Macaca fascicularis: one gene and its partner. The protein of the gene in region 1 purifies or fractionates together with the protein of each later gene. This does not show direct contact. Links are inferred from orthologs where the notes say so. Each region holds a gene or a part of one and is shown in the gene's direction. Other genes may lie near its edges.

Evidence for each region.
Region 2: the proteins of ZMYND8 (region 1) and MTA2 purify together in Homo sapiens (affinity purification with mass spectrometry; 3 studies listed by BioGRID and IntAct, with this or other methods). This does not show direct contact. The link is inferred for Macaca fascicularis from reciprocal best matches to the Homo sapiens genes ZMYND8 and MTA2.

The regions. Positions count from the first base shown.
Region 1 is NC_088384.1:103,410,103-103,413,852, reverse strand, and holds the start of ZMYND8 (MYND-type zinc finger-containing chromatin reader ZMYND8), read left to right. Parts: upstream 1-1,255; 5' UTR 1,256-1,315; coding exon 1,316-1,329; intron 1,330-2,480; exon of another isoform or gene 2,481-2,551; intron 2,552-3,750. UniProt on the Homo sapiens protein: Chromatin reader that recognizes dual histone modifications such as histone H3.1 dimethylated at 'Lys-36' and histone H4 acetylated at 'Lys-16' (H3.1K36me2-H4K16ac) and histone H3 methylated at 'Lys-4' and histone H4 acetylated at 'Lys-14' (H3K4me1-H3K14ac).
Region 2 is NC_088388.1:11,464,504-11,467,878, forward strand, and holds the end of MTA2 (metastasis-associated protein MTA2), read left to right. Parts: intron 1-114; coding exon 115-254; intron 255-514; coding exon 515-743; intron 744-936; coding exon 937-1,026; intron 1,027-1,378; coding exon 1,379-1,497; intron 1,498-1,605; coding exon 1,606-1,754; intron 1,755-1,978; coding exon 1,979-2,144; 3' UTR 2,145-2,787; downstream 2,788-3,375. UniProt on the Homo sapiens protein: May function as a transcriptional coregulator. Acts as a component of the histone deacetylase NuRD complex which participates in the remodeling of chromatin.

The DNA.
Region 1 (3,750 bases):
CTACGGGGGTAGGCCTGACGCATAATGGGGGCTCTTGTTTCCGGGCTGAGCGTGCCATCTTTCTGTCTCCCTCTGGATTGAAATGGCTTCTCAGCCCGAGAGGCACTGCCTGTGCCCTGGATTCACAAGGTACACGCCTCCCTGGGAAGCAAAGGCTGAGAGACAGCGGCTCTCTCTCTCTCTCTCTCTCTCTGCATCTGCCGGGAGAGCTGCAGCTGGTATTTTTCCACAGGCCTTTGCTGCGATCTCAAGGCCTAGTTTTTCCCAGCCAGGCCCGGAGTCCGAGAGAGGGTTAACAGGCAGGAAGCCGAAGGCATCGCAGGCTAATACGGAAGTCAGATTTGTGTTTAACTGACAGGTTTAGCAGGCCTCGGCCGTGGGGGAGGGGCCGGGAGGCAAGGGAAGTTTGTAGATCCAGGCATGTGGCCTGCGAGGAGGGCTTTGGGTTTTTCTTAGGGTAAGGACGGAGAGGGGTCCCCCTTGGCATCGTGGCAGGGAGGCAGGAACCCACGTTGATTTTGCACGCAGGACTGGCTAAGCAGGGCGAGAGGCCCACGGCTCTCTGGCCTGCCTTGCAAGGAGGCATGGGGACAATGACTATGCAAACTTGACCACTCTGCTCCCCTCCTCCCCTCAGCAGCTACTCCTCGCTCCTCTGAGAAGCCAGGGCTGCTCTCTGCTGATTTTTCGTGGCTCCCCCGGTCTGCCTGCTTCCCCAGCTCCTCAGAGGCCTGCCTCAAGCCCCTTTTTCTGGCCCCCTTGGCTGTTTCCGTGGGACTCCCCACTCCCCAGCTTCCCCTTCCCCTTGGAGAGCCACCCTGCTGGACTGTTCTAGAAAACGGCTGGCCTTCCTCCCTGGACAAGGGCCGTTTCTCTGGGGGCAGGTGAGGGTGAGCCGTTCCAGCCCACTCCAAGAAACTCCCTTCCCAGGGGCCTCCAGTCCTCAGGCTTCCCTGGAGCAGGTCAGGCTGGCTGCCCTGGCCGGCCCGTGCCGGGAAATCTAGCCAGGGTGCAGGAGAAGTGCGTGTGGGGGCCCCTTTCCCAAGTTTTTCTTGCTGCAAAAGGCCTAGCTTAGCCTGTCTTTTTCTATGCACAGGATGGCTCTTGCTCACCCGAGCCTCACAAAGATAATCGCTCAGGAAGTGTTTCAGCCAATCCGGGGCGGCTTTACACTCCGATTTGCCAGGGCAGCCAATCGGGGATGAGCTTTTATTAGGCGGCCAGATCATCAGCCGAAGTGCCAAACCCTTTTTCTGTGAGAACTAGGAGCCTGTCCTCCATGTTTTATAAGTATTGACATTACACAGTGTTAACAATGCATCCACAGAGGTAAGCTCGACTTTTTAACCATCTTTTTTCCCCCTCCCTCTGAGACATCCGAATTGTGGGCGAGCAGTGTGATTTCTCTGTGGCTGGCCGTGCCACACTCACCCCCAGAGCACTTATGTTAACTTGGAACTGTTTAGAGAGAATTTTTTTGCTTTCTTGGGTCACATGGCTCAGTAGCCATTAGCCATAGCTTGATTTTGCAAACTGGCAAGGGCCTGGCACACCTTTCCTTCCACCAGGGCATGGTGTTTCTGGAAGAGTTTGAAGCTAGATCCTGGTATGCCAAAAAAGAAGCTTTTTTTTTTTTCTTCTTCTTCTTCTTCTTTTTTCTTTCCCTCTTCCCTCTCTCTTCCCCTCTCTCTCTCTCTGAGCAGTTCCCCCCCCCCCCTGCACTATTGTCTTCTCTTTTGCCACATGCCCTGCTGGGGGAAGAAAATGGAAGGTAAGCAAACAGGCTCCTCTCCAAGGAGAGCTCATGGCAGACAGCAGAGCAGGCAAGTTTGCCTCTCCAAAGAGGTTCTGGGAAGGCTGGATAAGTTTTGACAAGAGAGGAGCGTGTTTGCAAAAGAATTGAACCCTCAGCAGAGCAGTGCTAAGGAGAGTCTAGCTCCTGGGGCCTAGGTGGGTGGTGGTGTCTGTACACGGTCTTCTCTTATTCTACAGAGCTTCTGCACTTGAAACTACATTGTTCAGCCTGTTTTCCTGACTTAGGTTGCTACAGAGTGTTCTGCAAGCCAGCCTACAGCCAGCAAATGTTTCTGAAAGTGTTTTCTAGGTTTTGGAGGAAGTTTTTGGAGTAGGGATGGGGACTGGGGGGTGTGGGGAGAGAGATCTTGGACAACATCCTGCAAAAAAAAAAAAAAAAAAAAAAAAAGAAAAAATCTGCAAGGATTCTGAATCCCTTAGTTTTCTACTCTTGCATGATTTTCAAGGAACTAATGTTACCTTTTATCCTTGTTTTCATTTTCCTGTCCCTTTTATACATTGTATCCTCCTCTCTTCTCCTGTGTGATGGAGTGTAGAGGAAATAAAATCATGTCTGTGGCTCATGACAGCATTCCATATTCAGTTGTTGGGTTGTGGTGTTGTTGTTGTTGTGTGTTTTTAATAATACCATGTAACTGTTTAAAAAAATTTCCTTTTTGATCAAGTCCCAAATCTGCCAGCCTGTTCTCTCTTCCTAACTGTGGAAAAATGAGACGGTTGCTTGAACATTTGTTGGGTAAGTAAAGCAATCCATTTCCTCTGTGACCATGTTTGAAGAGTTTTGCGAACATTTGGGGTCTGTTTGTAATAGGGGGTCTTGGCTGCAGGAGTTGGGGGCTTCATTAGCAGGAACAAAATAAGGGCTTTTTAAAGAGTGTCTTGATTTTAGGTGACTGTTTGAATCCACTGTTTTTCCTGATAACCTGCAGCTAGGATTGAAGATTATACTTCCTGTTTACCCTGAGTCAGGGGAGAAGTGTTTAGTTCATTGTGACTTGACTCTAGACCTTTAATGGGGTTTGTTTGGATATTCAAACTGTGAGTAGGTGATGTGCTTGTGAAATGTAATGAAACTGCTTGTTCTTAGAGTTGCAGAGCCCTAAAAACATTGGTGGGGCAGAAGCTGGTGGTGGTGGTGGTGGTGGTATGTGTGTGCTGGGGGGTGGTGGTGGCAGTGTGCTCATGCTTTAGGACTTATGTATAGTGCAAAATCTCATCTGCCACCAGACTGGGGTTGGATTCAGGACTCACTGACCAACACATTTTGGCCTTTTTTCAGGTCTCATCCACACATCTGTATGCATGCTGACCCCACATAAGATTTGTCACTTTTTACATTTCCCTTGACTTCTTAAGGCTGCAGCTAGAAGTTAAGTGGGAAAAGTAGAGTCTTGTTTAGCATTACCTTTAGAATTTCCCTAGAAGTTCAGTACGTAAATTTTCAGCTTGGAGACCAATCTGACATGACTGTAAATGCAGGAAATATATTCAATTGCTGTGTTATGTCAACTTTATGGAGTCAGTAATCTTTTTTCTTTCAAATGAGTGTCCAGTAGCCCACTTTCTGACACCAAATTGGAAAAAGGCTCATTTAATCAGGAGAAACGTTTCGTACCACATTCTAAGTTGAAAAAAGTCTGTGCAAGGCAGGCCAGCTTAGCTTCTTAGAGTAAAACTGCAGGCAGTTAATGATGTTACATACTTAAAACTGAACAGTGCCACTGCCCCAAACAAGTAAGTTTAGACACTCAGCTATTTTCTTTGTTCTTATCTCCTTGCTGTAAATGGAAATTACATATTGAGGTTCTTGTGGCCTCCCTAGAAGCAGTGTCTAATCATAAGACTCCTGGTTTGGTGCCTTCAACGTTTGCATAATACTGTGTTTGTTGGGCTGGAAGGGAACTTAAGGGCAAGGCGTTTGTCCTCTAAAAGCTT
Region 2 (3,375 bases), on another chromosome or scaffold:
GTTATGGGGGCACTGGGATGGTGGGGATGGGTGGAAGGCCTGCTGTGGCTCAAGAATCTGTGGGGCTCAGGTAGCATGCTTCTTCCCTGTCCCCCTCCTCTCCATGCTCTGCAGCCACACAGTCTGCTCAGTGGTATGCCTGGGGCCCACCTAACATGCAGTGCCGCCTCTGTGCTTCCTGTTGGATCTACTGGAAGAAATATGGGGGACTGAAGACCCCAACTCAGCTTGAGGGAGCCACTCGGGGTACCACGGTAAGGATCAGTGGGGGTAAAAGCAGGGGAGAGCAGTAAGCATATTGATGTGAGCTTAGGTGAGGGCCAGAATATCCAACTCTTTATATGGTGATGGTTTGATGGGCAGGGGGTGCTTGATGCTGGTTGGGGAGACATATAGGCCAAGAGGTCAGTAAAGAGATTAGGCAGGAATAAATTGTCTTCTGCAGGGAATGGAAGAAAGAAGGGAGCCTCAATGCTGATTTCTGCTCTCTCTCTTTCCTATGCTCTTCTTCTAGGAGCCACACTCGAGGGGTCATTTGTCCAGACCTGAAGCTCAAAGTCTCTCCCCTTATACAACCAGCGCCAACCGGGCCAAGCTACTGGCTAAGAACAGGCAAACTTTCCTGCTTCAGACCACGAAACTGACCCGTCTTGCCAGACGCATGTGCAGGGACCTATTACAGCCGAGGAGGGCTGCCCGACGGCCGTATGCTCCTATCAATGCCAATGCCATCAAAGCAGAGTGTAAGGACAGGGAGTGATGGGGCTGGTGGTGGGTTTAGGGTTGCTCTGCCCAGAGACGATTGTTTCTCTGGATGTTTAATAACAGGAGGCATAGTAGGCCACAGGTAATTTTTTAAAGATTAGACTTGGCTTCTGGCCTCAGAGGAGACCTGAATGGTGAAGCCCTTCAGAAGCTTTCATCTTTGTTCTGCAGGCTCCATTCGACTTCCTAAGGCCGCCAAGACTCCATTGAAGATTCACCCTCTGGTGCGGCTGCCCCTGGCAACTATCGTCAAAGATCTGGGTATGGGATGAGGACCAGTGAGGGTGGCATCAGGCTCCCAGTCCGTTCCCTGTCCAACATCTTCTCTCCCCTTGTTTTCTTCTTCCCCATAGTGTCCTCAGAGATTTAGTCTAACAAACTGTACTTTTGTTGTTTAATAATTTTTTTTGTAAACTATTCAGTGTTACTGTACTGATTTGATAAGGTCATACTGATATTTGAAATACTAGTGATAGCTTGCCAGAACCTTACCCCATTGCTACTTTTGGGGATGCCCAGGTAAACTGCTGGTCCAGGGGAAGAGATGGAAGTAACAAAGGGGAACTGTGTAGGGAAGAAAAGGTGTGAAAGTTTTCTATTACTTTTTTTCCAGTGGCCCAGGCACCCCTGAAACCAAAAACACCTCGGGGTACCAAGACACCGATCAACAGAAACCAGCTGTCCCAGAACCGGGGACTGGGGGGCATTATGGTGAAACGGGCCTATGAGACTGTGAGTTGACAGAAAGGGGTGGGCCAAGCTGAGTTGGGTGGGCTTTTGTTTCTCATAGGAGTCTGAGAGGGTCCCTTCCCTCATTGTGCCATCCTGCCTCTTTTCCAGATGGCAGGGGCAGGGGTTCCTTTCTCTGCCAATGGAAGGCCTCTGGCTTCAGGGATTCGTTCAAGCTCACAGCCAGCCGCCAAGCGTCAGAAACTAAACCCTGCTGATGCCCCCAATCCTGTGGTGTTTGTGGCCACAAAGGATACCAGGTAGGGAGTCTACCATGGGAGGGGCTGAGAGGGACAGTCCAGGCTGTGAGTGTGGGGAGTAGGAGTTTCAGAGCAAGAGCTCTAGGAAGGTTGTGGATGCAGGGTGGGGATGCCAGAAAAGAATGGGCCAGAAGGCAGAATTGCAGTGTGGAATGTGGGGCTTCACCTGGAGGGCTTAGTGTTCTCTAAGCCTTTTCTGTTTCTCACTTGCTCTTTCTGGCCAGGGCCCTACGGAAGGCTCTGACCCATCTGGAAATGCGGCGAGCTGCTCGCCGACCCAACTTGCCCCTGAAGGTGAAGCCAACGCTGATGGCAGTGCGGCCCCCTGTCCCTCTACCTGCACCCTCACATCCTGCCAGCACTAATGAGCCTATTGTCCTGGAGGATTGAGCACCTGTGGGGGAGGGAGGTGGGCTGAGAGGTAGAGGGTGGATGCCCAGGGCACCCAAACCTCCCTTCCCTTTCGTGTCAAAGGGAGTGAGGAGTAAGGAAGAGAGCAAGTGAGTGTGCGTCCCTGGAGGGGTTGGGCGCCCTCTGGTGTTACAACCTCGAGACTTGTCTCATGCCTCCATGCTTGCTGATGGAGGACAGACTGCAGGAACTTGGCCCATGTGGGAACCTAGCCTGTTTTGGGGGGTAGGACCCACAGATGTCTTGGACAGTTTTGGGGGGAGGGTTTTTTAATTTTTTAAAAATTTTGCCTCCCTTTGTGAAAGGGGATGGGGAGGGGAAGAGTAAACAGATAACAGGTGGTGGTACCTGGTTGGGGGAGGGGGGCGTGCACTGCCATGTCTTTTTTTTTTTTTTCCTAATTGGGGGTTTCTCTTTCTGTCCGGTGTCCGGACTATCCTAATTGGAGTTTGAGGCCCCTAAGCTGGCATCAACCCCAGGCCATGCTCGCTCTTTCCTTCCCTCCCCTCCCCCTCCGCCTTTTGTACGCCAGTTCTCAGAAATAAAGATCTTTTGTCCGTTTTTTTAACCTCGGATTCTGTAATTGGTTCTTATAGTAACAAATAAAAAGCTGTTTTCTTCAGCTTCTCCTGGCTCAGCTGTTCTTTGCCATGGGTGTGTGTTGTGTGTGTGTTGGGGGTGTCTTTGACAGGGAAAATAAAGGACAAAGGACAACAAAGGAGGTACAGATGGTTCTTGCCTTGGGAACAGCTTTATGAGATATGCAGCCTGGACCGAGGCGGCTTGCTCCAGCTAGCCTTCTTGTGGGATCCAAACTGCTCCCCAGCTCCCAGTGGTGATGGAGCCCAAGCACCATCTTGGCCCAGATTCCTTCAAAGGAGTTGAGATGAGCTTTCTGGATGACTGGTGGCCTCCATAGGAAAGGAGAATGGGGGTGTTTCTTCCTCTGTTTCCCACCTCTTACTCCCCTCTCCCTTTCACTTAAGGAATTCTGGAAGTTGCTGGCAGCCAGGGTAACATGTATACCACCTTGGTGGTGGTGATGGGGTTATAGGAGGATCTCCTCACCTAGCTGTGTGGTGTATTTGGCAGATGAGAATTCTACCATTGAACCACTCGAGCACCTCTGGGTGTATGTGTACAGCCTGCTGCTTCAGGATCCTCAAGGCCAGTCTCAGCAACTGCCTTGATACCCTGATCCACTGTAGCA